Coturnix japonica: one gene and its partners. The protein of the gene in region 3 purifies or fractionates together with the protein of the main gene of each other region. This does not show direct contact. Links are inferred from orthologs where the notes say so. Each region holds a gene or a part of one and is shown on either strand. Other genes may lie near its edges.

Region 1 (8,353 bases), on a different chromosome or scaffold from region 3:
CACACACACACAGTCACAAAGTAAACAAGATGTACATCCAAACCACGCTGGGAAGGGAAAACAAAATGGAAGACTACAGCAGCCCAATGAGCAGATGATTTTCCTATCAGCTGTAAGAAGAGATCACTCACTGCGACTTCACCTTTACAATCACAGAATGACCCGGGTTGGAAGGGACCTCAAGGATCATGCAGTTCCAACCCCCCTGCCTGGCAGGGCCACCAAACATACACCTTTACTAGATCAGGTTGCCCAGGGCCCCGTCCAACCTGGTCTTGAACACCTCCAAGGACGGGGCATCCACAACCTCCCTGGGCAGCCTGTTCCAGGGCCTAACCACTCTCCTAGTGAAGAACTTCCCCCTAACATCCAACCTAAATCTTCCCTCTTTCAACTTGGATCCATTTCCCCGTGTCCTGCTATTGTCAGCCCTTCCAAAGAGTTTACTCCCCTCCTGGGTGTAAGTTCCCTTCAGGTATTGAAAGGCTGCAATCACTACCATAGAAGAAGCCATCTGAATGTTAACTAATAGATTGCATGTTAAATAAGATGTTGGATTTCAGAAAAATAAAAAGAAAAAAAAATCAGTGCCCCAAAGGCAGAAGCTCTTCCTTCCAGCACAGCTGCTGTCCTGCTCTAAGGAATAGGTATGTCTATGGAAAGTTTCCTCCTTCACCACACACATCCTGCAGTTCTCATAAATTGAGCTTACCAATGCATTTATGAGCTAGGCTGATTTATTCACCATGATATGCATGCAGCAAACAGCCAGCGACTCAATATGTATTTCACAAAATGCAGCCAGGCCTATGGCGTTTCCATCTATCATTAAACACCCAGCACCTGGAAGTCTTCATGGGACCCCAATGGTCATACAGGGTGACCTGTGCTACGTGCTCCCACTCTTACCTTCACAACATTTTCTGCAGTGAAGTTTCAGACAAAGCTGGATTGGTTTCTCCTCTCAGCCTTCTAAAAGGTCACACGAGCAACAAGCCTCTTTTCATAAACAACACCTGACAGCCGGTTGCCAAATTAACACCCTTAATCACATCTGGCATTTCTTCGTTTTCTGCCCACAGGCAGTCACCTACTGGAAAGTAATACATGTGATGACACCATCAGGTGCAGCAGCCCTATGTCACATCAGAGAGCAGACAATTTAATGACAGTAGAGTGTGAGAATCAGACACCCCATCACCTTGCAGTACGAAAGCAACAAAGCCTCAAAGCCCCAAGATGGTCCTATAATCCAAGACCAAATCTCTCATGTCCCTTTCCATGTAGATGCTCCACAGGGCTGAACAGAGGGAATGGTTTTAAGCTGCACCAGGGCAGTTTCAGGCTGGACATTAGGAAGTATTACTTCTCGGAAAGGGTAGTCAGGCATTGGAATGCACTGCCCAGGGAGGTGGTGGAGTCACCAACCATGGGAGTGTTCAAGAAACATTTGGATGTTGTGTTGAGGGATATGATTTAGCTGGGAAGTATTGGTAATGGTTGGACTGGATAGATCTTCTAGGTCTTTTCCAACCTTGATAATTCTGTGATTCTGTGAACAGGACTCTGCTTACTCCTGATCTAAGGTCTAATAACTGCACTTCAGCAATCTTCCAAATGGCTCCATTGGTGTGTTAGCCCATTTTCCTTTGGCACACAAATGACAGAGAACGCAAGGCCACTGGGAGAAATCGCATCTTACAAGAAGTATTTTTACAGGGCAATAAGGAATACTATAACTTGTTTTCGAGAAGCCTTCTGGATCACAGCCACCGCTATGGTTTTAGGAATGGTTTAGTAAGTCTGACCTAATCAGTCTCCCAGCTACAATATCAGGACTGTAATTGCACTATGGGTTCTTATAGAGTTCCACAACCAGTAAAGGAGTATCTCAGCAGAAAGCTATTTAACTATATCCTTTTAAAGAGAGATTAAGTACTCCAGACTTCGAGGACGGTATCTTTTGTTGAGATGGATTTCAACACAGGGAGAAGCTGACGTGCATGGCTTGCCACTAATGCCCAGTTCTGCTCAAATCAATGTTACAGGGGGCAGAATCGGATGCTTACATCTGTAACAGGCTCTGTTTTAGTAACAGCATTATTGCACAGCAATGCTCGGTCGAGAGGCTGAAGAAACCGAGTACGCTCAGAATACGAGAAGTAGAGGAGACGCAGAACAAATATGAGCTAACCGCATTTAGAAGTGAGTCAAGACAGCACCACGGGAGGCACTTCTACATTCTCAGCGTCACATTTTGTTTTCTGAGCCTCCTCAATTCAGAATACCATGTTAAAATAACAGACATTTCATTGCGGAATGTCTGTGAAGAGCTACGTATTAGGAGAGCTCTATCATCGCTGTGAAACCCCTGACCCTCTGCTCTCTCCTAGTTCAATCACAGAATCACAGAATTATCAAGGTTGGTAAAGACCTAGAAGATCATCCAGTCCAACCATTACCAATACTTCCCAGCTAAATCATATTCCTCAACACAACATCCAAACGTTTCTTGAACACTCCCATGGTGGGTGACTCCACCACCTCCCTGGGCAGTGCATTCCAATGCCTGACTACCCTTTCCGAGGCTTTTTTCCAAAAAGCCTATTTTCACAGCTAGAGAAATGAGCAGCACACAGTAATGGCTGAAATCACTGGCTGGATCACCTTACTTTGTTTGGAATTTTTAGCATTGTTTCAGCACTGAGATCTTCCAGCCTTAGAACTCTCTCTCCCCAGAAACAGAGAAGCATAGCAGTTATCGCTGCGTTCTCTTCACACTCCGAGGGGATTAGGGAAAAGAATTCTTTATAGATGCAAAAGTGCAAAGAAACCAGCCTCAGTTTATGCCGTTTTACATCGGTACAAGACTAGGATCAAACCCTACTGAGATTGCTTGCAGGAAATTACAATGCAGGGGGACAGAGCTGCTGGTTGCTATCCATTGGGACAAGGCAGCCTGCCTAAGCCAATGAGCCCAGGGCAAGCAGGCAAGCACTGCTAAAGCATTCCCTCGGGTATTCCTGGAGGATCATTCAATCAAAAAGGTGCTTCCAACACCCTCACCCTGCAGCCAAAATAGACTCCCTCATTTGATGCATATTTCTTTTTAAGTCTCCTTCCTTTCATCACCCAGCAGAAAAATGAAAGACCATAAGGATGTCGAGAGGAGCTGCCAGGATAGTTGCAGGAAGTCAGCAGACGACATCCCAGCAATGCTTCCTTCACTCTTTTGGCTGGAAATGCTGCGCTACAAGCACGGGATCACAGGTGTTTCAGGTGTTGATCGCAGATCCCCCCAAAGAGATAAAGTTTTCAAAGAAACGCTGCACTTTTGAAGCGCAGAGGCACGCTGCCATGCTCTATGGAATTACATAACGCATTTGCATTCATTTAATCCTATGTACGCTTACAGATTTGACTCGTACAAGGAAGCCCAGGGCGCACAAGCTACGTTAGCCATTAGGCTGCGACACCGAAATCAAGCAGCCGCATTCAGCAGGTCGAATTCATCACTCAACGCGCAAAAGCTCCATGCAAACAGGCGTCGCTGAGCTCCTAAGGCTGACCGACGTCTCTTGCTTCTATTTCCTATAGAATTCAGCCTGTTAGAACAGGGCAACTTAAAACGGCCGCCGGGAGCATGAGAGCAGCGCTCCCTCCAGCACCACCTGCTGAACCCCACCCTCGCCAGCACCGCCAGCCTTCCTTCATCACCAGGACGCAGCAGTTATTTCTGCTCTTTTCCTATCTAACCCCGACCTGTCAGCTCCTCGGCTGAACGCCGCTCGGTATCTTCGCACGAGAGATATTTTTAAGCCCCCGTCAAAGAGCACCGTTGCATAACGGCGACGTGGGAGCTAACTTTCCCACCGACACCGACACCCCCCGAAGCCCCGTCACCGAGGCTGTACGGAGAGGGGGGCTCTCCCCTCCCGTGACGAAGGCTGCGGCAGCCCGTTCCCAGCACAGGAGGCGAGCAGCGGGCTGTGCCCGCAGGAACGCATCGCCCTCACGGTGGCCGCGGCGGGGACGGCGGCTCCCTTCTCCCCCCGCCCCCGGCTCCGCTACGAGACGGCGTCAGAGCGAAGCGTCCCGACTCACCGGCGTAGAAGCGGATGAGGCAGCCGGTCTCGGCGTCCATGCCCTCCTCCTGCACCCGCCACAGGTCCCGGAAGCCCAGCTGCGAGAGGTAGTCGTTCTGGATCTGCAGCGGCTTCTCGTGGCCCTCCAGCCGCCGGCTGGTCTCCCCGTGCAGCTGCACGAACAGCGCGGGCGGCCCCGCGGGCACCTCCCGGCCGCCCCCCGCCTCCGGGGACAACTCTCCGGGCGGCGGGCGGCCCCGGCCCGGCCCCGCACCTGCCTCCGCGCCGTCGGAGGCCGCCGGCTCCGCCTCCAGCTCGTCCGAGGAGGACGAGCCCCCGCCGCCACCGCTGCTGTAGGGGTCCAGGCGGTCGGAGACGCTCTCGGCGCTAGGGCTGAAGCTCTCGCAGTCGGAGCCCGCCGGCCCCAGCTCTCCCAGCAGGGAGGGGCACGACAGCGGCGGTCCGGCCAGGTACAGCTCCGCCGGCGGCGCGGCGGGGTTCGGCGAGACGCCCTCCTCGGCGCCCCCCCGCCGGCTCCCGGGCCGCTCCCCTTCGGCCGCCGGCTCGGCCGTGCCCGCGGCGGGGCCTTCCTCCGGCGGCGGGGGCTGCGGGCCCGCCTTGCCCGGCACCCGCACCACGCCGCCGCCCCGCGGGCCGGGCTGCTGCAGGCGGGCGGCCACCTCGGCCGCCGTGGTCTCCAGGGTGCAGAGCACCGGGCGCAGGTAGCGGTTGGCGTGGCGCTCGTAGACGTGCACGCAGCCCCGCTGCAGGTCCCGCCGCACCCAGTCCCGCTCCGGGGGCTGCAGCGGCTGCAGCTGGCGGGACGGCTTGGGCAGCAGCGCCTTCCTGTCCAGGCTGCGGGTGCCCAGCGGCGCTCCGGCCGCCGAGAGGTTCCTCTTCAGCCGGCCCCGCCGCAGCAGCAGCGAGCCGCCGCCCGACACAACGGGGGCCGCCAGCGCCGCGGGGGGAGCCGAGCCGCCGGCCGCCCCCCGCCTCCTCCGCGGGCCGCCGGCCGCCTCCGCGCCGCTCTCCGTCGCCGGGCCCTTCCCGCCCGGGGAGCGCTCCGCCGCTTCTCTCGCTCGCTGCTGCTGTTGCTGCTGCGCGGGCTCCATCGCCCGCGGGGCCGGGGCTGCCGCCGCCCTCCTGCCGGGAGCGCCGCTCGGCCGGCGCTGGGAGGGGGGAGCCCGAGCGGGGCGAGGCGCCGCGCCCCGGGAACGAGGGGGGGGGCTCAGGGCGCAGCGTTCCGCCGCTGCCCCCGCGCCGCGCACCCGCCTCAGCCCCGCTCCCCGGCCGTCGCCAGCGCCATGAGGGAGGCGGGCACCCAGCGAGCCCGGCGCCGCGCCCGCCCGCGCCTCATGAATATGAAGTGGCCCCGCCGCTCGGGGGAGGCGGCGCGATGTGACGGCACCGCTCGCGCGGCGGGGCGGGGCCTCGCCCGTAAACACCGAGTGACGGCAACATGGCGGAGCGCGGTGCTGCTGGGGAGCGTAGTCCGCAGCCATTCCCCACACAGCACGGAGACTACAAGGCCCGGCGGCCAGCGCTCCTCGCCTTCCCGCCTTCTGCTCTCTCCTCAGGAGAGCGCTGCCATGACTACACTACCCCCATCCCATCCTGCCTGCATATAAAGTTGCTTTAAGTGAATGGCTGAAATGGTAAGTTACAATGAGATCAATGCAATTAGCACATAGGTACCAGCTCTCATACCGCAAGGACATAACGCTGCAGTGTTTATTCAGATAATCTGCTCGTGCTCCTGGGGGTGTTTTAGCTGAGTGAGGTGGGTTGGAAGTGGCTGTATCTGCCTGAGCTTATTCCTTACTAATACCCTTTGTAAAATGGCAGCCAAACTTCATGCCAGAGGCTCATTGGAAACGCTGTGTTCTGTAGTAAAGCAGGGGTTCTGGTGCAGCGCTGAGTGCGTTGCAGCCCGATTTGCTCTGCTCCCCACAGACCTAAAACATGGAGATCTTCAGGTACATCTCAGGAACGCAGAACTGGAAGGGAGGTTTCCGGGGACATCAGGTGTGCCCCCATCCCTGGGATCCCAGGTCTTTTTACCTAGCTGAATGTCCTCTCAAAGTGAACAGAATCACAGAATGACCCGGGTTGGAAGGGACCTCAAGGATCATGTAGTTCCAAACCCCCTGCCTGGCAGGGCCACCAAATATACACATTTACTAGATCAGGTTGCCCAGGGCCCCGTCCAACCTGGTCTTGAACCAAGTGGGTCTGCCCGCAGCACCACCCGAGTGGTCAGGAGCTTTCTTCCACTTTTTGTTCTGAATTTACACATGGCTGGTTTGTACCCACATGTTCACGTTGCCCTTTGACTCCAATAGCTTTTTTAGTTTTTAATTCTGAGTGTCTGCCCCCAATGTACTTACAGGCAGCTGCTGTATCCCTGAGCAGTCTTTCCTAGACTAAACAAAGTCCTTTTGCCTCCCAAGGCAAGATAACGTACACAGTGCAAGAACACTGGTGGCGGGCACCCCGTTCCCAGGGACACTCAAGGTCAGGCTGGAGGGGGACTCTAAACAACCTGATTTAGCTGTGCGTGTCCCTGTTCATTGCAGCAGAGTTGGACTAGGTGACCTTTAAAGGTCCCTTCCAACTCAAACGATTCCGTGATGCTATGATAACGCAGAGTGAAGGTCATTTCAGTAGCCTCGGGTCAGGCACGTGGTGGGGTGAGATGGAGGAGCTCCTGCCCAGCCCTGCACGATGCTGCGAGCCGGCGAGGGGCTGAGCTGACCTCGCTTCTCCTGCTGCTCGGGGCCTTGCTCATGAAGGGCTTTAGGCAGTTAACAAACCAAGTAGCAGCACTGAGGTCCAGAAGGTGGAAAACTGCTGGGTTTGTCTCTGCTCTGTGCAATTTGCTGGGGAGCAGGAAGCTGCACTGAATAGTCAGGCAGTGATTTCTGTAACAACCCAGCATCTCCAAACGCTGGTGGTACAGAGCCAGGTTGTTTTTGCTTTATGCAAGGAAGTGCATTTGAAATCTTGTCATTACCTGCACATTCAAATTGAACTCTTAGGCGTATGAGAAAACGGTGCCATTCTCCATTTCCTAGTCACTGATCAATGCTTTTTAACTCTCTTGGAATCGTGAATTTTGCAGCGAATTAACTACTGCTGTGAGATGTGGGAATGGAGCTTCTGAAATTGCTTTTTGTCAGGAGGAAGTGGGAGGCTGAAAGGCACATCTTCCTTTTCTAAAGTTTGATCGATGGTGGCTATTTTGAAGAATGGTTAAATGAAACAGGATGGTTTGCAATCTGCAGTTTTCCAGCTGGAGTCTGGCAACCTTCGTGAAGAGTTTTATGACTGTAGGAGCTTTCTACAGAAAAATAAGGGAATAAAAAGTAATTTATCACAGATTACTCTGATACCGTACCAAAAGTCTTTATAGCAAACGAACAAACTGTACGTGCCTGTAGACACTGGCAGGAAAACACCAGAAGGCCTTGAAACTCCACAGTGACTTTTGTGTAATATACCCAGTTACCAGAGCCAGAGCCTTTGTAGAACCAGTTTTGCCATAAGCTATACTCAAAGAGAATTTCTAAATCGTATCAAATATGCAACAATTGCCCAATTTGTTTTTTTTGTTTTGTATTTAAAGAAAGCCTATCTATAAAGCATGCCTTCGTTAAATGGGAATTACTGAATCCTCACTCCTCGACTGTAGAAAACTTGGCTGACGAGACAGTTCTGGATGAAAAGCTCGGATGCGCACCGAGAAATGCTAATGTGGGAAAAATTCTATTCATTCTTCTTCTGCTATAAGTCATCATCAGTGGCACTGCTGAACGTTCATCCGTGATTTAAGAAGAAATAAATCACCCCAGTGATTCCAGTTAACGCGTGAAGTTAGGGAGGGAGTTTAGAAAGAAGGAATTTCATGTCCTTTAACGCTGTAAAATACTAGGGGGCTTGTTCGGCTCTTTTTAGTAGCCTGTTTTTCTAGTCTGGGGGATTTTCCCTACAGACATGGAAGCAAGGGACTGATCTCAATGTCAAAATACTCGAGCAAAAGACAAAACATTTGCCACTGTGGAAATAATTCAAAGAGCAGGAGAAAGATGAGCAAAGGGCCCGTTTCCAATCGGACCATTTAATAATATCCTTCTTTGTAAAGGGAAATTGAATGTCTTCATACGGAAGCTCTTCTGACAATAATACTTAATTTTATCAGCAGTGAATGATTTGCAGTCTTTAAAATGCTAGGTATGCACCTGTATGCCTCATCAATCAGTGGGCTGTCG
Region 2 (7,015 bases), on a different chromosome or scaffold from region 3:
CAGCGTCAGAGGGACCTTTCTGGAGAAGACGTTGGGGTGGACATTGCAGGCTGATGGAGCAGGGATTCCTGCAAGGACTTGGATGTCTGAACTGCCCTGCTCCAGTTTCCTGGGGGCGGTGAGCACAGCTCGCCCAGCTGCTTCAGCGTGTGGCCTTGGAGCCTTGTAGTGAGCAGGGCTTTGTCCTGCCCCAGCACTGCGGGCTGCTCTGTGTGCTGGGAGCAGGGCTGTCCCGAGGAGCACTGCCAGCCTGGGCCATGTGGAGCTTTGGAGCTGGGAAGCTGCAGTGCTGTGCTGTGCTGTGCTGTGCTGTGCTGTGCTGTGCTGTGCAGTGCAGTGCTGTGCTGTGCTGTGCAGTGCTGTGCTGTGCAGTGCTGTGCAGTGCTGTGCAGTGCAGTGCTGTGCTGTGCAGTGCTGTGCAGTGCTGTGCTGTGCAGTGCTGTGCAGTGCTGTGCTGTGCAGTGCTGTGCTGTGCTGTGCTGTGCAGTGCTGTGCAGTGCAGTGCTGTGCAGTGCTGTGCAGTGCTGTGCAGTGCAGTGCTGTGCAGTGCAGTGCTGTGCAGTGCTGTGCTGTGCAGTGCTGTGCAGTGCTGTGCAGTGCTGTGCAGTGCAGTGCAGTGCTGTGCAGTGCTGTGCAGTGCTGTGCTGTGCTGTGCAGTGCAGTGCAGTGCTGTGCTGTGCAGTGCTGTGCAGTGCTGTGCTGTGCTGTGCTGTGTGCAGGAGCTGCCTGCTGTGCTGCAGGCCTGCTGCCTCTGCTGTCTGCACAAGGTGGCACAGGGGAGCCCTGTGTCCCTGTGGCTGCATTTTTGGTCAGGTTTGCTCAGGGCAGGTTGGGCTGCAGCACTGGCAGCCTGGGACGTATGGGGCCACAGCAGGGCTGCCTGTGGGGGAAGACAGAAATGTCTGTCACCTGAAACCTGGTCTCACGTAGGGGTCTGCGTAGCCAGAGCAGCTGGCTCCAGCAGTGCTGGGAGAACAGTGGCTGGAAGGAGGCCTGAGATGTGAATCCGTACTCCTGTGATTTAACCCTGGTCAAGGGATGGTTGCAGCACTGTGGGCACCCCAACATGCCCCAGACCCACCGTGCCCTGCTCTCCAGCATCACTTGGTGGGCCCTCCCTGGTCCCTGAGCTCCTCAAGCCCAGCCCTCATCATCCTGGAGAGCCTTTGGTACCAGGGCTGGAGCAGTCTCTGAGGGAAGCTTGCTTTCGCCCTTGCTGTTTCTGGATTGCTTGCACTGCGCCCTCTTGGGCAAGTGCCCTGCACCTGTACCCCAGAGAAGGTCTCTATTTCGTGGAGAAGAGCCTGCTGTCACATCCCTCCATCGCGGCCCGTGTGTCCCTCTGGAGTTGTTTTGTGGTGGCCACGTGTAACACCAGACTGGCCACTGGCCGCGCTGGCCCCTCACATCTTGCTTCCTTTCCTCCTTGTGCTTTTCCTCCCCCATCCCACTGCCCCAAGAGCTGTGGGACTGGTGAGCTGGGAGGGCTGAGCCCGTACCCCTGCCCGGGTCCTCTCCAGCCCCAGCACTGCTCCTTTGCCCTGGAGGACAGGCAGAGAGGCTGCTGCTGCTGGTTGGAGAGCGGTGACCCCCCCCCTCACACCCCCCTCAGTGCTCAGGGCTGCAATTTCTGCCTCTGTGAGGGGAGCGCATCTCCCTCGGTTCGGGGCAGCAATTGCTGCCACCAGCCCTGTGGGTGCTGTGCTGCTGTGGGTGCTGTGCTGCTGTGGGTGCTGTGCTGCTGTGCTGCTGCGTGCTCCGTGGAGGAGCCCCTGAGCTCCACAGCCCCTGCCTGAAACACAGCGAGAGCAGCTGGGACTTAGAAGTGAAAGATGACCCCAGGCTTCTCTGCATCTGCTGCAGGCACGTATTGAAGCCTGGTGAGGGGCTGGAGCTGTGCCCACAGCGTCCCCTCTCCCTCAGAGCGGCGCTGGGTGCTGTGTGGGTCCTGTGCCCAGTTCCTTGCTGCAGTCCAACTTTGTGCAAAGGCGAAGGCTGCAGCTCGGCTGGGGGCTGTGAATTCTTCCCAGTCTGGGATGGCTGTGGAGTGGGGCTGGGATGCTCCTTGCTGCTTGCACCTGCCTGCAGCCTTGCCGCTTTGCGCAGACCCTCTCTGTGCCAGCCTGTCTCCAGGGCTCTGCTGGGCCCAGCAGTTCCACTTCACCTCAGTGCCTTAGGAGGGAACGCAGCCTGGCAAAAGGTGGGTTCTGTTCTGCAGCCCATTCTGTGGAAGCAGTTGCCAAGGAGGGACCCTGGCTGATGTCTGCCCTGAGTGGGTGTCAGCTCCGCTAGTTTAGAATTGGGAATGGTGTCCTGGGGGGGATGAGTCCTCTTCTGTCTTTTGAGCATCCCGTGGCTGAGGGTTAATGGCAGTGTGTGCTCCTTGTTCCTTGTGGCTGCACACTGCAGTGTGGGTGAGGTGCTCCCCTGGACGCAGCGCTGAAGCTGTGCTGTAAGATGGACATTTGGCGCACAGCACAGCAAAGTGGGTTTTTTTTCCCCCCTTTGTTCCTTGATTTCCCCCATCTGACCACAGCTACGAGGGAACACCCACCTCAGCCTGTCACTGTGAGGGAGCTTTTCCTTGAGGATGGTGTGTGGTGAAAAACTCTAATAAAAGCAGCGTGAGGAGCTGCTGTGCTGTGTAACTCACAGGCTCCATCACTGCATGGGGCTGAAGAGGCAGTGCCGGGCCAGGACAGCAGCAGGGCTGTGCTTGGTCTCCTGCTGCCACACTGCAGTCCTCACACTCTGCCCCATGCCCAGGGCTGGGGCTGTGCCCCTGTGGGGTGAGCTGCCCCCCAGCTCAGCTGCTTTCCTGCAGGCAGGGCAAGGAAGGACACCAAGGCAGCACTGCCCAGATCCCGTCCTGCAGCTTCTTCTGCAAGGGCTGCAGCACGTAGAGCAATATTGAACTTCTGGCTTCAGTTTTGCTTCTGTAGAAAAAATAGTACTAAGAAAAACAAACTTACATTGCCAAGATGCTTTAGCAGAGTATTTATTCAATGCCATGGTGAAGAGCAAAACTTGGTACAAACATAAACCCTCAGTGCCTTGCTCACTACTGCACCGCGCCAAGGGAGGCAAACAGGACTTGCTATCTTGGGGCAGGAGGGAAGATGTAGGAAGGTGGAGACTGTTCTGTTGCTGTGTGAGGGGACCAAGAGCTGGGTCTAGGATCTTGAGTGCACACCCATATACACACACACACACACACACAAAGGACTCCCTTGTTTCTAGAAGTCCTGTGATGACCGAAAACCTGAGTACAGGGGTTCTGGATAAAGCCATGGGCACCTGCTGGGTGCAAGAGAGAGCAAGAGAAGGGTGTGAAACCCTCTTGCTGAGGGCTGGAGGAGCTGTTAAAGCCATCAGTGCATATTAAGACAGCAGCCGCTGTCTCCATGAAGCCTGTTTGCAACCTGAGGCTGTGAGTGGCACAGACACCTGCCCTGCTGCTCCTGAGCTGGGGGGCCCAGAGCGTAGCAGCAGGTGCAGCCCCTGGGGTCACTGCTGGCCTGGGAGCTTCAGCTCCCCCTGTCTGGGCCAAGTGGAGATTAGGAGCTTAATTTTAGACTCTAACAGTTGGCTGAAGGCTGGAAAGAGAAAAGCTTCAGGGACAAATACAGAGTAAACAACACTGAGTTCATAAAGTGAGCCAGCTTCCCCCATCAGAGGAGCCCTCAGAGGGAGCTGATCACCAGCCCCCAGGTGAGTCAGCCCTGGTGGAAGGAGGTTTATTCACACTTATGGCTGCACCTCTGCCTGTTCACCTGCTCACAGAGAACATACCAAGAAAACCTAAAGTGCCACAACTCAAGTAGGGAGGGAGGTGACCATGAGACCCATCATCACAGTTTACCCCCTGGAAGGGACAGCAGAGCCCCTGGAATAAATATGTTACCGATGCCATAGCTTATTCAGGTGCTACAGAACAGGGGAAGACAAGGGCAAAGCCAGATCGGCGTTACCAGCAGCTCTCCCCATTCTCAGATTTGTAAACTGATGGTATCAGGATTTAGTTGTAAGAGAAGGCAATGGCAGGGCAGCCCTGCCCCTCCAGCTCTGCCCCAGCACTGCCTCCCCCGCTGCCTTTTCAGCCTCTGATCCTTCCTGCCATCCCTTTGTGGCCCAAACACTGTGTGGGGCGGCACTGGGCGCACCCAGCATCCAGACAAGTTGCCCATGGAGATTTGGGACAAACAAAACAATAATAAAACTACTATATTAAAAGAGACCCGCAGTAAGGCAGCACAGCACTGTACCACTGCTTGTGCAGGTGCTCTGTAGCCAGTAGCTCTCAGTGAAGTCAGCCACGTTCCAGGCCCACACAGTACAAACCCTGGAGACGCGCCTCAGTCTGTTCTCAGAGACCAAAGCTCACCCAGAGAGCTGTGACCAAGTAGCAGCGTTTGTGATAAGCTGTGGGGAGGTTACCCTGCAGTGACCACCGGACCCAGGAACTGGTCCTCAGCCCTTACATTCTGTCTTTGAAGCAGACACTCCAAGGAGGAAGCCATTACCACTGCCGAGGTCCCTCCAAACTCAGCTGACAGGATTGGTGTGCTCAGAGCTCGTCTCCGCTGTGCAGGGCTCAAAGCACCGCAAGCTCCAGAGGTGGCCGCAGTGAGGAAGCTGCAGGAGCAGTTATACCTGGGTTCAGCTTTTCTGGTTCATGAGCCAGGAGAAGAGCAGTTTCCTGGGCCTGGGCTTCCTGGCCTGCTGGATTCGCACGGTGCGAGGGGAGCGCCACACCTTGATGGTGGTGTCATCGCTGGCTGTCAGCAGCAGCTCCTGCTCCACTGGGCTGAAGGCCACCGAGTTGACAACGTTGTCGTGCTGCAGCTTGGCCAGGCAGATGTTATAGTGTCGGTCCCAGATGTAGCCATGGCGATCTTCTGCCCCGCTGCAGCAGACAAGACAGCAGTGAGGACACCGGCCAGGCAGGCTCTGCCTTCTGCACCCAGCGCCCTGACCCAGCCAGGAGCCCCAGCCTCCATCTGCAGTGCCATCACCCACAGACACCCACCCTAAGGGGGCAAACCCCCTTTGTGACCCAGGCCCTGCTACAAACACAAGTAGGTTTCCAGAACTGGAGTCTGAAATGAGGCCTCACAGCAGCATCAATTAAAGCTCTGGAAATGCAGCCAGACTCACGCTGTGGCACCTGCAGCAAACCAGCCCTGTTCTGGGCTGCAGTGAGCCTGCTCCAGCCACCCCAACTTGCCCTGTAACACCTGCAGCCTGCAGCCCTCAAGAAGGGCAACTGCCACCCACTGACAAACAAGCCACAGCCACACATTTCCTTTTTCCTTGCTGATTTCACAACAGGACCAGAATAGACATCCTGCAGCAGCACCCTCTGACTCCATCCCTGCTCCACACAAACCTCCTATTTCCTGCTCTGCTCACAGCAGCCTCCCGCTCTCGGACCAGCCCTACCTGCAGCACGACAGCCCACAGCTCAACACCCAAAGCCATCCCGTACCTGGGCAGCATCCTGCCCAGCCCAGTGCCACACACCTTGCCACAAAGTCCCTGCTGACGTCCAGGAAGATGAAGAAACACTCCTCGTTGGGTGTGTAGGCCCGATGTGCACGGAGGGCTCGTTTCACTTCCTTCATTGTCTTCAAATCAAACACGTGCAGATCGATCTCCTCAGCAATGGGGGGTGGCTGCATGGGGTCGGAGATGACACAGTCCCGAGGCCAGGCACGGCTGTTCACATACAGGTATCTTGGGGAGGAAAGCAGAGGGGTTACCCTGCACTCATGGAGCCACAGTATAAAACCCTCTCACACAGGCAGGCAGGGCAGGGACCACACAGCTGGTCCTTAGCAGATCTGCAGCTCTGAAACACAGGCAGAAAGTGGCAGCCACATGCCCTAATGCAGAGCGCCTCACCCCAGCCTGATGCAGAGAGGTTTGCCCTTGAGGCAGAAAGTCATTTCTCCTCCCATTCACTCCAAAGCCCCCACACAGCTGTAACCCAAACTCTCTGCTGCCCGAGGTCAGCAGGCAGCTTCCTCCCCCCTCCAGTCATACTCACCGGTGGTCAGGGGAGAGACCCATGCCAATTATGTGCCCATGGATGTCAATGACGTGATCCAGCGAGTCAAAGAACTCATCCGAACGTCTCTCCTCCCCAAGCACTGGCCCAGCAGTTGTCATCTGGTGGGGCAGGATCCTTTTAATCCCTTGGGAACAGAAAGGAGGATCGTGCCATCCATGGGCTTCTGCCACAAACCAGCAGGGCTGATTAAAGCCCATTGGCTTCAAGGAGGGACTTCCCTCAGCACTGCTAAGAAAGGAGGACTGGTTTGTTTCCAGTCAGGGGCTGAGATAAGGGCTGGCACAGGGCTCCTGTCCCTGCCAGCTGCTTCCAGGCTCTCGCTAGCAGTGCCTTGTACTCAGCATCCTCTATGTGTCCAATTGTGAAGATCCTGCCCTGGTAGCAACAAAACCATGAGGCAAGTGCCAGCAGGCAAACCACCTCCAGCTAGTGGAGGAGTCTCAAAAGCCTCTGGCCCTGTACAGAGAACCCAGCTTGAGCAAAACTGCAACTCACCACAAACATCAGCAAACAACACAGGTCTTCTCCAGATTAACATCCAGAGCGTAGCTGCAGCCCACACCCCTAAGAAGGCTGACGTGCCCTGGAGCTCAACCACAGCCTTACCTATCTGGTGCGGAGAGTAGGTGAGGCACCCTGTGGTGAAAATTAAGTACTTTGTCTTGCTGTTGCTGTCCGTGGAAAGCAGGTTCACCTCAGGCGGTTTAGTTCTGTTGCGTATGAACAGCTCAGCCACTTTGTTCTCCAGCTCAGCCTCAGTCATGGCAGGCCTCACACAGCCCCCCATGATATCATCAAAGAACTGCTGCAGCTCATCCTCTGCTGGCACACCCCCGTCATCCGGCAATTCCTGTACTGCTGGCTCTGGAGTCTGCTTGGGCTTGGACTCCTCTTCTTCGCTGTCACTGCCGAGATCAAAGACTGGGCAGGTGGAGGTGGAAG
Region 3 (8,249 bases):
TCCACAGAATTTAAATGAAGTTCTTAATATCAGTCTTACCTTCAGAGAACATAATCTAGGGGGTAGCTAAGACTTCAAGATAAGAACTGTTTTTGTCAGTAACAGTCTTCACTATGGAGGCAAGCTAGTCTGCTCAGGAGATAACTTTCAGAGAGCTGACTGCAAACAGCAAAACAAACTCATTCTAAGACACAACAGATTTTACTGTTACTCAATTCCAACTGCAAAGCAGATATCTTTTATCTCGTCTCCTTTAACACAAATGGTTTTTTTCTTTCTTTAGATATCCATTTGTTTTTAATTAATAAGCCCCCAGAGCTATGAAAACATTTTTTTCCCACATACTTCTGTTCTTGGGAAGAGACGACAGCACAAAACCACAATGTATTCTAGCTGAGTAAACACCTACATGCTTTTCTAGCACCCTTATGGTTTGTAATACATATCACAATCCATTATCACATTTATTTAGTGTTGGTGGCTATGAAGAAATTCTTGACGCAAATACAGAGTCCAGACATGCTGCTTACATATATGTGTATATGCATGCCTGCTAGTAATTCACACACATCAATAATTTGGTAAGAAGTAACACACTGCAAAGCTTTTGATACTCTGGTCACCCATTAGATACCTGAAATCCTTTTAGCATCAGTAGCCCAAGCCACACATGACAGACATACTACAGTTGATAAATACTACAGAGATGGGCTCCTGATTTCTGCCTCATAATCTGCTGGCAGTGCATACCAGAAGAGATGCTTTTAGCATGATGGAATAGGGTGTAGTCACTTCCCCCCCCCAGTAGTGCTGATAAAAGCATCACTGAAACCACCACTGATCTCAGCTGTTGCACTTGCAGGGGAGTAACAGACAACATTCCAATTCAAGCATAGAAAAGTTTTGTTAATAACTGTGTTTGGATTAACTCAGTTTTAAGGCTTTTTTCTCAAGGCCAGCAAAAGCACTACTTATACTGCAGCCCCAAAAGCTGTAGGACCAATTTATGCATCAATTTCAGAAGGCCATATTCTTTTATTAATGTTAGTGAATTTTGCTCACATCTGCTTTCCAACTTACCAAAACATTCGCAAGAATGACAGGCACAATATAGCAGTGATTCCAACTGCCTTTTGTTCACTGATTGTGCATACAAAACAACACGTCTATGGGTGTCCTAATGGGATCATTACAGAACTACAATCTTCGGTTCTCTTGAAACAGAAGAGTTTACAAGTGCCACAGAGAACTTTTTCATAAGGCTTATCACTGTAATCTTTTTTCCCATTCTTTAAACAACTGTTTGGTAAGGATTGTTGATGGGGCTGTACAATAGCGTTCTTGTGACTTGCAGCTGTGTTTTTTGAATGAATATTTGTCTTGGATTCTCTGTGGAATCTCTCAGCAGCTTTTATTGATGTTTCTTGGTAAATGTTAAACACTACATCAATTCTTTGGCTTTCTGCACCATCACATACCGCTGATAACCAGCTACATGTTCACTTTATTTATTCTTTGGATCACACTCATTCCACTAGTGACAGATGGCCTACTATGGTTTTAGTAAGTTTGCATTCCACACAACCCCTCCATTAAAGTTTCCTACTTAGTTTCTCAAAGCGTTCTACCCGCTATTTTCAGTGCGTCATAAATAAGACATACTGAGCATGTCAACTTGGGACAACTTTTCTGGGGGGTTAAATCTTTGTCTGTTTTGAGTATTACCATCATTTAGAGATCTTCGCATTTACTGCTCTTCTTTTTATGACTGAAAACATTCTGACCTTCTCTCTGGGAGTCCATTCATGAATTTCCACATAAAAGAAGCAGTCTCTAGATGAAGACTTTTAAAATAATTGCAGGTCTACTCACCTACTTCATGTACTTCTAGGAGGACATCAATACAGTCTGGCAGCTGGCTGATAAAAGTGTCAAGATCTATCGGTCATTATTGATTGGCTTTGTCTTAAGAATTTCAAGCAAGGTTTCAATACCTGGCCTCATTACAGTTCGATTATATGTACTTGTTCAGATAACCACTAAGTTATAATCTCCATTGTGCATGAGTTAACCTGGAGATCTTCAGCTGCTTCCTGTCAGCTACTTTGTACTAATATCTTGATGATCAACAACAAGGCAACATTTAGCTTCAAGTTAAAAATCCCTTTGAATTAAACTGATCTGAAAATAAGCATTAGACCTCAGGAGTCTGAGTGGGCTTCTGTGATTGAACCAATGGAAAGAAGGCAAGGTCTCACTTCCCTCCTGCTCTGCATTTCCTGTCCCCTCTGCCTTACACATTTCTCATTTAAGTCATTTCACCTTTGAATCACAGAATCAAATTAGTTGGAAGAGACTTGCAAAGGTCATCTAGTCCAACTCCACTGCAACAAACAGGGACATCTACAGCTCAATAAGGTGCTCAAAACCTTTTCCAGCCTGACCTTGAGTGTCTCCAAGAACAGGGCATCCACCACAACTTGGGCCAACCTGTTCATAAAAACCTGTCCTTATATTTGAAGGGAGTACCTGCTTGTCTTTCAGAAATGGCTCATTACAAGGTCAGAAAAACACAGCTGGTAAAGGATGTAGCAGTAGGTACTGACAGTAGAAAAGAGGGAGGAGGACAACAGCTATTGGAGCAGCTACATCAGAGCAGATCAGCTAGATGTGAAATAACCTTGAAAGCACATTGTTACAAGGCAGTCTGACTGTGCTGCTCTTCCCACAGCTGCACACTTCTAACTTCTCCCTTATTTTGGCTCTAGCAGCTGCGATGATGGGATCAGCTCGGTTGCCAACCAACAACTTGCTTCTCATTTCTGCATGCAGGGCGCTTCTCAGGCTGATCTGACTCACCCTTTGGTTGCATGATTACTGGAACTGATTCAAGGGAGGCAATGGAAATAGGTACCCAAAGACAGAGAGGTCAGATGCATTTCTACACTAGAGATCAGTCTCTGATTAGTTTAAGCCAACCACAAGGCTGATGCAGTTACCAGAAGGCACAGCCTTGCCTCCCTGGGGAAAATAACCCTTTCAGCCCGTTCCACTTCATCCCTCACACAGAGGAGGACATTGACCTGCTTCACAACAACGTGGTTTACGTGACAACCCGTTTTTCCAGTTAACAAACGCTCAGCGGGGCCAACTCCCCAGCCTGGCACCTTAGGCACAGCCTGCCTTTATAGAACCATAGAATCGGGACAGCGGTGGGTCGACTGGAAACATCCACCTACGGCTGCGCGTTGATATTTATTCCCTTTTCACCGCTCCAACACAGGCAGCTCCTACACAAACCCCCTGTACTCCCCCTTCTCGCCGCCGCCATCTTGAGCGCCCCTTCACGGAGCGCCCCCTCCCCCTTCCCGCCAGCCCCGCCCCTCCCCGCCCAGTCCCGCCCAGGCACAGGCCGCCCGGCGCATGCGCGGAGGCGCAGTAAACAGCGGCGGCCGCTCCTCCCCCTTACGCCGTTTGCGTGGCCGGCTCCGCGCAGCGCCGAGCGAGCGCCGGCGGCGGCGGCGTTTGCGCAGTGGAGCTACATCCGGGCACTGGGGCAGGATGAATGCTCCTTTCCAAGATGGCGGCGGAGGGAGGAGGGAAGGAGATGAACGAGATTAAGACCCAGTTCACCACCCGGGAGGGGCTGTACAAGCTGCTGAGCCACTCGGAGTACAGCCGGCCGAACCGGGTGCCCTTCAACTCGCAGGGCTCCAACCCGGTCCGCGTTTCCTTCGTCAACGTCAACGACCAGAGCGGCAACGGGGACCGGCTCTGCTTCAATGTGGGCCGGGAGCTCTACTTCTACATCTACAAGGGGGTCCGCAAGGTACCGGGGCTCGCCCGCCGCGCTGTGGGGCTCAGGGGCCTCCGCGCCGCCCACCCGCCCGCTGTGGGGCCGCCCGCCGAGGGGCCGCGGGGCCGCGTCGTGGGCGGGGGGCGGCGGGACCGCGGGGTGACGGCGGCACGGCCCGGCACGGCGCTGCACGCTCAGCCGCTGGGGCAGGGGGAGCGTAGGGCCGGGCAGGAGGCTGGAGCCCGCTGCTTACCGGGGGGTATGGCACGTTCCGTGTCGCACCCGTAGGTGCGTGGGGAGGTGGGGAGGGGTGGGATCGCTTGGGCCTTGCTCGCTGTGCAGGAATGGGGGCAGGGTTTCCGACAGCGAAGGGGACTGCGAGCCTCCTTCACTTGCTGCTTCAGGTCGGAGGTTGCTGGGAGCTAATGCCCGCCGTGATTACGGCGGTGTCAAATCCCCGCGGTTAGGGCAGAGAAAGGCTGCCGAGCTTCGGGCGGAGGGCTGCAGGATTTGCTGTCATATTAGGCCTGTCTCATACCTTTGAAGTGCAGGCTGATTTCAGGGTTGTTCTTAAATGGGAGCAGTCTAGAGAGCTGAGTTTTAAATGTCAGGTAATTAACGCAGAGAAAGTTGTTTTTACGGAAGACGCTCATTGGTGCGACTTGAGATAGACTCTTTAATGGTTAACGTTTGATGAGGGACTTATAGTTTATGCGTTTGATGTTTCAGGTCATCGTGTTTATGAATAAATCCTTTCTACTAGTTGTTTCTTAGGGTCGTTGTCTTTATGGCATTTAGAAGAGCATTTGGAACTTGTCATACAGTATGAACGTGTGTCACTCAATATATGAAAACACAGATGTAATGATTGTTAGGCTTCTGATTTATGTTTCAAGAAATGGGTGTTTGTTATCTCGTATACTTGAAACTTAGCTCCCTTAAGGTGAGTCCTTTCAAGCCTCCCTGCCTTTAGTCCAACATACAACATGGACTAAGTAGGTGGAGGGCTGGTGATGCACCCTGGACTGTGCAGGAAGCCTGTAGGTGAGGCTACATAACAGAGTCTGCAGGCTGCTAAGCAAACACCCAAATCACTGCTCCTCTGCAAAATAGAAGCATCTACAGGAGAATTAAATCTACCTCATTATCTGCTTACTGTGACTTGACAGATCTGATATGTTCTGTATAATGGTCTGGGACTTGGTTTTGCACTGTAGTGAGTTCTCTTAACCTAGTTGTCTTAAGTAACACTTAGTCAATATTTCTTGAAGCGTGTCATGAGATATCAAACGTTTTCTAAGCATTTGCTGTCTTTACTGTTTACAAGATATTGTGACAATATCTCTGAAAATCAAGTATTTAAACTATTGTCATGTTTGTGTTCTTATATCCTGAGCTTGTGTTTTTCCATACAAAGTAACCGCGGAGTTCTCTTGCGTGTTACAGAACAGGCCTTTACGTAGTGTGGCAATGGTAGGTGTGATTCTTGCATATTGTCTTAATCATCTCTTGCCACGCTTAAAATAAAGAGAATTGAAATCTGAAGCTTGGGACTGCACTGGAAATAGGGGACTGAGTAACTTTTCAAATTGTAGAATTGATTTTGAGATTAATGTTTCAATATATTTTTTTTTCTGGCTGCTAAAAGCTGCTTTTGTGCTACACAGTAATGGAGAAAATGTTAGTTTGTCAGATTGTGAACGTAAGAGCTTTGTGATATACCTGTTATAGCATTGCATGTTATTTTCCTCATAGTAATATAAAATTATATATATATATATATATATAATATATAAAATGTATGCATTGTTCAGAATTCATTTCACTCAGCTCTTAAAATGCCGACAAATGAAAATATACTTAAATCTTTTTCTGTAATATGCTAAATTCTGTAAAATTAATCTTGAGAAATAGCTGGAATAAGCTAAGGAAAGTGTTTAAAATCAGACTAGAAAAGGTGGGCTGTCTTTAACTTGTAATGGTTGTTTCTTTGGAATTTATTTTGAAACTATTCATTTGAAAGATGCTTTTGTCTATGTGCAGAGTTGAGAGAAGAAGGGGCTGACACTTTCAACTGATGATTGGAGTTTTCTAATGTAAAAGGTTACCTATTTTCTGGCTATAGTTGCAGGAAGGAGCAACTGCTACCTACATTGATAGTATGTAAGTCCATCTTAAACTGGACGAACTATGCATGTCTTCCTTTGCTTGGCAGTGGAGCCAGGGGAGGGACTTGCTCCTCTGAAGACCAAAACATTTGTGACCCTCTGCATAATACAAATGTTAACAACTTCTCTTTTAAGTTATTTCACCGTTACTGAGGTGTCTCTTTAAAATGTTCCGTAATAACTTTCAGAGTATAATTTTCATGTTGGTGAAGCTGTTAAGATAGTAGAGTACAAGTTGAAGTTAGTGCTGTGTCAGGTAGCTAAGACTGTGTCTTTTATTTTACTTTTCCAGAGCAAGAACAGGAGCAAACTTTAAGTGTTATATTTTTAATAAAATGAGTGAACGAATCACCAGGACTTTGAAGGAGGAGTGTCTGTCTGATGCTGAGATAATTCTTGTATCACTCACCTATTGCAGATCAGTACATGGCAAGCAGGAATCAAACTGGAGCCATGAACGACACTTAATGCTAATATTAAGTGAAGTACCACTTTTGTAAGGACATTTCTTGAAATCAGCGATGTTAAGTTTCCTTCTTTTAGCTTCCATTAAATCCTAAACATGTTGCATCTGCTACATTTGTGAATCATCTTTTAAAGTACGCTGGTAACATATGTGTTCTGTTTAGGAAATACAAACTATAGAATGTAAAATCTTTTCAAGATATTTGTTTAAGCTTGTTTTATTTTCTAAGAAACCTGCTTGAAGTACAATGTCCAGGATGGTCGTGTTGGGATTGGAGTACTGATAAATAATGGTAATAGGAATAATGGTAAGGGAGTTTTGGGGAGCATTTCAAGATGTCTTCAGAGATTTTCTTACCAGAAAGAATTGCCATGACCATGAAACATATCACCATATGTATCCCATGGCAATGAAAGCATACCAGCTGTGAACCACTGTTTTGGGTTTCTTCTTGTCTGTTATTTTGTTTGTGTTTTAGGGTAACGAAAACTTGATCAGTTCTCCTTCTGTTGATACAGTAGTGTAGGCTTCCAGAAAACTATTGATTTTTGGTTTGTATCCACTGAAAAAGGAAGTGAATGTATAGTTTAGAAAGGAAAAATTGAACTGCGATTGAATGGGAGGTAACCACTTTGCTTTACTTATCTAAGTATATAATTATTCTCAACTATGCTGAGTGTCAGTAACCCTTGTCTTTCAGTCCTCCTTAACTTTGGTGTTAAGGCGAGATGTGATTTCCTGTTAGACTGAAGGGTTGAATTTTTGTGAACTCAACTGATGTAGTAACAGCTGGAAATGATGGTAGAGCAGTGAAGTATCTTTCTGATGTGCTCCCTGAATCCTTGCTAGCTTTGCTTATGCTCAGTCTCAGTTAGAGCTAGTTTAGCTTGTCAAAGATTAGCTTGCTAAACTGGTAGTTCAATACATGTGCTTTCTCTGGGTAGATTTTATTTTGGATTGGTGAGTTGAACCATTTCACCTTGGGTTTAGTTATGAGCAAGCACAGTGAGAGCAAAGAAGGGGATAAAGTGAAAGGAACAAAGCTGCCTCCTGGCCTGTTGGGTTGGATCTGTTGCCTGATGGTCTCACCTGAGCAATGCCTTTACTGCTTTTTTAAGTCAGATTGAGAATTATTTGTTCTTTAGAGATTGTTGACTTAATCTTAACTGAGTGTTGAAGATGTTAGAGGAGGCTTTTTCTGTTGAAGTATAAGGTGATCATTCAGAAATGATTTATCAAACCATGATGCATTGGTGCTTTGGGTTGCCTTTTTCTGCAGCACACATCAGGAATGAGGGCTGCTGCCTATGTCTTGCTTATGGGACAGTCTTGAGGTACTTCAGTCTGGTTTGTGTTTGGTTTTGCAAAATGATTTATTAGTGGATTCATTAAACTTGAGAAGGAGCATGCTATTTCATCTTATTTCTTGTCATAGGAGTGACTGACAAGTCAAGGCTTTCTAGATTGCTGTTGACATTTAACTACCCAATCTGTTTCCCTTTTTACTAGGAAATTAGTGCATTTTCCCTTTCCCCCCACCACTATAATTAGTGTATTCACTCTGTTTATTATAAAGGCTTCTGGGCAAGTCAGCATGCAGCTGAGGCTTCAATACAATCATATGAAGGTGCATATTAGCAACAGCATGGCACTGTATACAGTCTTGGGTTTTACCACACGTGTTGGGTTGTTGCTGAATTTGAATGTCATTCAGCTTATTATATTAATATTTCTTTGCTAACATGTGGCAGACTACCCCAACAGTGGGATATTATTCATTTTGAACTTCTTTCTTGCCAAAAGAGACCGTCTTCAGTTG
Region 4 (7,556 bases), on a different chromosome or scaffold from region 3:
TATGCAAGAGATTCAGAGAGATGGGAATGGATGAGCTACTCAGCAAAACATGTCTGCTTGGAAGTTTAGCAATGCACTTCACATAGCAACTTGAGGAGCCAAAACATCAGAGTCCAATAAACCAGGATACTCACTTGTTTCTTTGCCCAGCCATCTCAGCTACTCCATGACTCCAAAAAGTAGAAGTGAGTGCTGAGTCTGTTGGGAGGGAGGGCTTAGAATCAATCTTCAGCGTGGTAATGTGACTATGGAGAGAGAAGAAAACAAAATAATTCTTCTCTCCCAGCCACCATGTTGAACAGCTTGTTCCAAAGGACCACATCCACTCAAGAATTTTACACAGTAGCAAATACAGGAATTCAATGTCCTGGCATTCTGATGATGTCAGAATACATATGGTCAGACACAGCTGGGAGAATGTCCACTTGAGAAGTTTCTCGCTGATGATTTGAACCCAGCCCTTTCCCTTATTACAGGACAGAAAGCGTCAGCTGCTGCCTCAGGCAGGAAACACTGTAAAGTTACACAAAGTTGTGTTATATATGGTGCTAGCCCATTTCCTCTCCTGGGAAACTTCCCCTTCCCCATACCTGTCACAACTAGCTTTGCAACTCCCTGACTCTCACCTGAAGATATCCAGTGTCTTGTGTTCTAGCACCAGCTTTGTGTTTCCAGTCAGGTCCAGCTCTTGCAAAGCAGCTGGCAGTGCCTCAGGGATTAGGATTTCATTTAATTCATTGCAACTCAAGTCCACTATCTGCAGCAGAAAAAAAAAAAGCATGATGACAAAGAACATATTCTCTATTCTTTCATGTGATCAGTTACCAGTTATTCCAGTGCTCTGTGCTAACATCAGATAAATCCCACTAACAACCGTATCCCACAAACAGCTCACGAAAATGGCGATGACCTATAAGCCAAGGTCATGAACAGTGGCAAAGAATGTGAGTTGAGCCATCTTCAGTCAGTTAAGAAAGGCAACAGATCTTCTATGTGTATTTTGTGCCCTCTTTACGAGCTGACTGAGCAAAATACTGAGATCTCCAGTTCCTCTTGTAGCAGTTACTTACAATTCTCCAACCCAAGCTTCCTCCTGATACCTCACTATATGTAAGGTAAGAATACCTGTATACGAGGCAAATGCAGGATCTCTGGAAAGATGCTGATGTCATTAGAGTGAGCAATAAGTGTATGAAGTAACTTGCAGTTTGCCACAGTTGTGGGAATTGTTTTCAGTTTGTTGCCACTCAGATTCAGCTCTTCCAAGTGTTCCAGCTTACTGAGTTTGCTGAAAGGGAAACAATAGCATATCCTAAATGTCAGAATTTATCACTTCCTGGACCTGCAGATACAGCATCCACAGACATTGTCCCTTACAAGCTACATTTCTAATTCACTGATATGAGACCACGAGTTATGCATTTACCTTGCAGGGAAAGCCTGAAGGTTGTTGTTTGCCAGATGCAGGATCCGTAGGTTCGGATGTCCCACCAAGACAGGGATGCATTGATCTGTGAGGTTGTTATTGGTCAAGTAAAGCAGCTGCAGCATGCTCAGACTCTCCTCCCCTGTACATGCAGAGGGCAAGGACTCCAGGCTATTCGCAGAAGCATTCAGATACCTGAGGCTGACCACAGGAAATGAAAAAAAAAAAAAAAAAGAAAAAAAATCACTTCATCTAAACCACTCCACTAACAGCAGGAAAGGTTGCTAATACAGCTATAAAATTGCCTATGCAGATGGACAAAGAGCAGTAGGCAGGCAAGTCAGACAACACAGTGTAATATCCCTAATCACATTAAGATTTATGAGTCTACAAATGACCATTAGCTACATGTCACTGCAGATGCATGCAGCATTTTACAGTAAACAGTGAGTACTGTAGAATAGATGGAGAAAGTAGACAATACTGGTAGAAGGAAACTACATGAACTTTTACTTGGAGTCTTTTAAGAAAGGTTGACTCAAGTCTGAATAGACAAAGAGTAGAGATTTCTCTTGCTTTTCTTTTGAGAAATACCTGTTGTATTTCTGCAGTAACATCTGATAATCTGTATGGCCTTTCTTTGCTCCCAAATTAATAAATTCATTCTAAAGACAAAGCGTGCCAAGTAGTAACATGACCTTAGAAGCAGTTGCAACTGAAGTTAATACCATGGTTGGCTGCTAGGTTAGGCACATATCTGTTTTCCTGTAATTAAATATTAACATGGACCAATTCTCTCACACTGGCTGGATGATTTCTCATAGCACCTGAATTACCTCATCATAATCTCTCACGCAAATGTCAATAAAGCTCACAGCATCTCACAAGGACAGTCACGCAAATATCACCTTCACAGCTTCAAAGGTTAACAGAGAACATCCATGATACTGTCACTCACTTCAGGGCCTTGACAAAGAGCGTCTCAGGGAGTTTAGTCAATAGGTTGTGCTGAAGGTCCAGCACTTCCATTGGAATGTGCTCTTGAAGAGGTGGAAGGCTCTGAAGATTATTGTACCCCACTATCAGTTTCCGAAGGCTCAAGCTGCTGAGGATCCTAGAAAGAGAGGGTTCGTTAGTTCAGCTTGGTTCAGTCCTCCCTCTTCCCATCTGTAGAATGGGGACAATTTTATTTTCAGATGATAAAAAAAAAACCAACAATTTTATGACTATAAGTCGTTGTGCAAGGCTTTTTCATGCTTTAATCTGCTGGATAACCCTGATAGCTCAAAGTCCATATTAGCAAAGTTGGAACTTGAAACAAGATATATCCACAGGGTTGATAGCAGACACACAATGAAAAAATCCCCAGTGGGGATACAGTAAATTCCAGCACTTAAAAATCTCTAAAAACACTTGAATTTTTAAAAATATGTGTTTCTGAGTCTGCCTTTTGCATGTTTGTTATATGTAACACACTTAAAATGTGGTCTTTTTCATACAACCTAAGAAGGAGGAGAACCTATTAGCACAGAGGGAGGGCCATGAAAATTATCAGGGGCTGGAGCACTTTTCCTATGAAGACAGGCTGAAAGATCTGGGGTTGTTCAGTGTGAAGAAGAGAAGGCTCCAGGGAGACTGTATGGAGGCCTTCCAGTATCTACAGTGGGCCAACAGAAAAGATGGGGAAGGACTCTCCATCAGGGATTGGAGTGATAGGACAAGTGGTAACAGCGTTAAGCTAAAAGAGGATAGTTTTAGGTTACATACTAGGAAGAAATTCTTCACTACAAGAGTGGTGAGACAGGAGCAGGCTGTCCAGATAAACTGTGAATTCTGTATTCCTGGAAGTGTTCAAAGTGAGGTTGGATGGAGCTTTGGGCAAACAGATCTAGTGGGCAGTGTGTCCTACCATGTCAGGGGAGTGTGGTAGCACTAGATGATCTTTAAGGTTCCATCCAATGCAAACCATTCTGTCATCCATCAGCATGGGTAAATTTCTAAGTTCTCATTATCTCAACCTTGCTACATTCTTTTCTTGCTTTAGATGCACATAATCTTGTCTCTGATAACCAGAGTCACTGCTGAGAACATTTCCTATGACTGCTGCTTTAACTACTTCAGCCATTTGCATTTCTTCACTGTGACCTACCATTGCATTCACATTTCAACACAGCTGACCCAGACACTCTCATTCATTACAGTCACACTCCCTGCTAAACACATGTTCAGCCAAGAACATCTGGGCTTTGGTTCTTTCCATGATATCCCTTGTACCTCAAATAAGTCACTAAAAATACAAAACAATAAAATAAATAAAATATTAAAAAGTCATATTAACTCTTGGCTTCCAGTTACTACATTGCTACAGAAGCTGAAATGGAAGCAGGCAGAAAGGAGTTGGCTGATGATGATTGTGAAAGCTGCCTTTGAGACAAACTATATCATATCTCTGAGATATCTACTTTTGGAAGTTAACTGGTGAAAACTCTGGAGTGATGCAAGGTTTGTTACGGCTTCATCTATAACTTGCGTTCACAGACACTACTGTAACACAAAGTTAATTCATAGCAGTGTGTTTTACTTCAGGTGCAAACTCCTGGCAAGGGACGGAACTATTTGGCCCCTGTTAATCAAGAGGTTGATTTGGAAGTCAGTTCTTTCAACACATGAAAGCAAAGTACTTTGGAAACTGCACAGAGAAATTAAGTAAAGTATCTATATGCACAACAAGGAATAAGGTAAGTGGAATAGCACTGCTTCTCTCTTCCCAGTCAGCTCCCCATTCGAGAAAGTTCAGATTCGTACAAGAAAGTAGTCTGCTGACCTTGATGGGAGTTCCACAAGGACGTTGTAGCTCATGTCCAGAATTTCCAGTTTCTTTGCTTCACAGGCCCAATCTGGGACACACTGTAGCTCATTGCTGAGAAGAGCAAGGAAAAAGCTAGATACCAACACCTGATATAGAATATGCCCCATCTGAGCACTGCACGGGGCTGCTGACAGACAAATGAAAAATAGGAAAAAAAAAAAAAAAAAAAAGCACCACAGTATCTGAGCTACTCACATGGCATTTATCTCTTGGCCAGCTGCATAATGCAACATGTTTGGTAGGAACTACTGTTGCAAGACTCTGATGATCTCACTTTCGTTTTATTTCAAGCATTGATATAGCAGAACAGGCCACCTTATGCTACCCAGCTAATGTGCTTCAAATCTGAACTGATGCAAGATCAGATTCCCTATTTTACAGGTATGACAATCTTGCTACTAGGGCAGATAAAGAAAATGAAGACAACAGTGAATCACCAGCACACAGTTTACATATTTGCCCCGCAGATTCCCACCATTCAGCCTAGTAAGTTGTTGCAGGTTCTTAGTGGTCTTTATTTGGCCTGTCTTGCTGATTACAGCCTGCAGCTGAAGGACAGCCGGTCACCTAGACAGATGAAAATGGTTCAGAGGGGCTTCTGCAACAATTTCATCATCCTTCAGCACTGGGCTTTCCAGTTCTACTGTGGAGATGAAGTGCCTTTTCTCAATTGCTCTCAACTCTTTCAAAAGCGTAACAACTCCAGAAAACATCTGCAGAAAACACCAAAGTTATTCAGATACTTGCTTTATAATCTGTGGTGTATAGTCACTTACTGGGAAAGTTCTAGACATGTCAGTTGACCAGGAACCGGGTAAACACTGACAGATGTGAGACCTGATGAAGTAAAGCAAATAAATATTATTGAAGAGCTCCAGAGGGAAAGCAGAAAAGCAGCACACAGACTAGCTAGTAAATGACACTGATAGCCTCACTCTGCAGACACAACAAAATGTCTCTACTTGTCTTTCCTACAACAGAGTTCAAACACCGTACATCAGCACAGCTTCTTGCTGTCCAGTTCACTGTCTGCCACAAGAGACACCAGAATAAAGGAGAACAGTGCTTCTATGTGTGGACTCCCAGACAATTCTCACCAGAAGACAAATAACTTGGATGGCAACTCTTTATGTTGTGCAGCCTGTGCACACATACCCATAATATGATCCCAAAGGGTAGACATCAGAAGGCCCATCACCTATGCTCTCAATAATGTCAGTAAATATTAGTATTTTTGTGAGAGGAGATAGCAAAAAGATTGTTTCCTTTGTTCCCAGGGTTTGAAGGAAGAAGGCAGATGAAGAACATAAGGACACGTACAGTTGTTGCTGGCATACAGAGCCCGAAGGGAGAAGCCACTCAGTGTCAACTCTTTCAGCTTATTCCGCTCACAGTGCAGCTGCTCCAGGCAGCCCAATGAGCTCAGATCCAGATCTGTCAGCTGATTATCTCGCAAATCCATGTAAGTCACAGATTTATTCCCCTCCAGCGTGTCAGCTGCTGCTCTCTTCAGGTTGTTCAGCCTAAACACTCAGAAACAAAAGGTACAGAGTCAGAAATCAGAACACTGAACACTGTACATGAGTAAGAAGAAAGGAAGAGCTCCAGCGCAGGCTTTCTTGCGAGTACAGTGAGATGTATGAGTAGTAACGATGGATTTCAGACAGTGAATGTGAAGAAAAACAGTTCCCTGTCTGCACAGCTACGTGAAACAGTTCTACTCACTTCCCAGTGTTCAAGAAATTCTGAAGACCACAGTCTATAAATTTCAAGTGAGATCAGTGGACAGTTACCTAGCACTGACAGAGCACGTGAATGCAGAGACTAGATACTCCACTGCTTTGTAGTAGACAAAAAATTCTTTGTCCCTTTCTAAGAACTCTGCAATTGGCAACCTGGAGAAAATACCTCTAGAGAGACAAAAAAAGTAACAAAAGGCTAAGAGAGCTCTAAGAGCTACCTGAGCTCACAATAACAGAATATCAAAAGGGGAACCTCGAGTACTAAGTGACATTCTGTGGTACCCATTCTATGGCAGGGGATTTAGAACTAGGTTATCTTCACGTCTCTTCCAACCCAAACAATTCTATCATTCAGTACATTCAATCACTGCTCAGCTGACCTTGTTTCTCTAAGCAAATCCTGCACATCCTCAGAAAGAGAACTCCCTAAAAGTGGGGAAAAACCCAACACGATTTATAGAATCACAGAATCTCTCAGGTTGGAAAAGACCTTAGAGATCATTGAGTCCAACCATGACTTAACCATACTACCCTAACTAACAGCCCTCCACTAAATCATGTCCCTGAGCACCACATCCAAACAGTTTTTAAACACATCCAGATACGGTGACTCAACCACCTCCCTGGGGAGCCCCTCCAGTGCTTAACAACCCTTTCTGTAAAGAAGTGTTTCCTGATGTCCAACCTAAACTTACCCTGGAGGAACTTGAGGCCATTTCCCCTCATCCTGTCACCTGACAGAAGTGGGAAGAGACCAACCCCACTTTTGCTGTAAGCACCTTTCAGATACTGGAAGAGAGCAATAAGGTCTCTCCACCGCCTCCTTTTCCCCAGACTAAATAGTCCCAGTTCCCTCAGTCTCTCCTCATAGAGCAGATTCTCCAAGCCCTTCACAAGCCTTGTTGTCCATCTTTGGACTTTCTCCAGCACCTCAACGTCCTTTTTGTACTGAGGTGCCCAAAACTGAACACAGTACTCAAGGTGAGGCCTCACCAATGCTGAGTACAGAGGCAGGATTACTACTTCCCTAGTCCTGCTCACCACACCATTCCTGGTCCAAGCCAGGATACCATTGGCCTTCTTGGCCACCTGGGCACACTGCTGGCTCATATTCAGCCAACTGGCCATCAGTACACCAAGGTCCCTTTCCATCAGGCAGCTTTCCAGCCACTCACAGTTCCTCTACTGTAAACAGGAAGTGACATTGGTTCTTTTATATACGTGTACATATACACATCTAAATAGATACACACATATACATACACACAGGTATACACACATGGTTCCCCTTACCTCAGGTCCACACTTTTGATGTGACTCATACGGTTCAGCACTTTAAGGTCCAGGTTCTCTAGCAAGTTCCCTGCCATGGCTATTTTGTCTAAAACAGTGAGTTTCTCACAAATTGCTGGTAGCTCACAGAAGTTATTGAAGGAAAGCCCAAGACAGCTGAGCTGCTGCAGACTTCCAAGCTCTTCTGGTAAGGATGTGAGGAAATTCCCATCAAGCCAGAAGCTCT

Evidence for each region.
Region 1: the proteins of WDR20 (region 3) and PHLPP1 purify together in Homo sapiens (affinity purification with mass spectrometry; 4 studies listed by BioGRID and IntAct, with this or other methods). This does not show direct contact. The link is inferred for Coturnix japonica from reciprocal best matches to the Homo sapiens genes WDR20 and PHLPP1.
Region 2: the proteins of WDR20 (region 3) and FBXW5 purify together in Homo sapiens (co-immunoprecipitation; 3 studies listed by BioGRID and IntAct, counting the BioPlex papers as one, with this or other methods). This does not show direct contact. The link is inferred for Coturnix japonica from reciprocal best matches to the Homo sapiens genes WDR20 and FBXW5.
Region 4: the proteins of WDR20 (region 3) and PHLPP2 purify together in Homo sapiens (affinity purification with mass spectrometry; 4 studies listed by BioGRID and IntAct, with this or other methods). This does not show direct contact. The link is inferred for Coturnix japonica from reciprocal best matches to the Homo sapiens genes WDR20 and PHLPP2.

The regions. Positions count from the first base shown.
Region 1 is NC_029517.1:62,824,510-62,832,862, reverse strand, and holds the start of PHLPP1 (PH domain leucine-rich repeat-containing protein phosphatase 1), read right to left. Parts: upstream 5,198-8,353; coding exon 4,105-5,197; intron 1-4,104. UniProt on the Homo sapiens protein: Protein phosphatase involved in regulation of Akt and PKC signaling.
Region 2 is NC_029532.1:184,382-191,396, reverse strand, and holds the end of FBXW5 (F-box/WD repeat-containing protein 5), read right to left. Parts: coding exon 6,680-7,015; intron 6,198-6,679; coding exon 6,050-6,197; intron 5,737-6,049; coding exon 5,524-5,736; intron 4,907-5,523; coding exon 4,660-4,906; 3' UTR 2,978-4,659; downstream 1-2,977. UniProt on the Homo sapiens protein: Substrate recognition component of both SCF (SKP1-CUL1-F-box protein) and DCX (DDB1-CUL4-X-box) E3 ubiquitin-protein ligase complexes.
Region 3 is NC_029520.1:45,045,598-45,053,846, forward strand, and holds the start of WDR20 (WD repeat-containing protein 20), read left to right. Parts: upstream 1-3,487; 5' UTR 3,488-3,565; coding exon 3,566-3,829; intron 3,830-8,249. UniProt on the Homo sapiens protein: Regulator of deubiquitinating complexes. Activates deubiquitinating activity of complexes containing USP12. Anchors at the base of the ubiquitin-contacting loop of USP12 and remotely modulates the catalytic center of the enzyme.
Region 4 is NC_029526.1:17,702,341-17,709,896, reverse strand, and holds part of PHLPP2 (PH domain leucine-rich repeat-containing protein phosphatase 2), read right to left. Parts: coding exon 7,331-7,556; intron 5,819-7,330; coding exon 5,616-5,818; intron 5,133-5,615; coding exon 5,072-5,132; intron 4,347-5,071; coding exon 4,251-4,346; intron 2,541-4,250; coding exon 2,385-2,540; intron 1,628-2,384; coding exon 1,427-1,627; intron 1,289-1,426; coding exon 1,126-1,288; intron 758-1,125; coding exon 627-757; intron 246-626; coding exon 135-245; intron 1-134. UniProt on the Homo sapiens protein: Protein phosphatase involved in regulation of Akt and PKC signaling.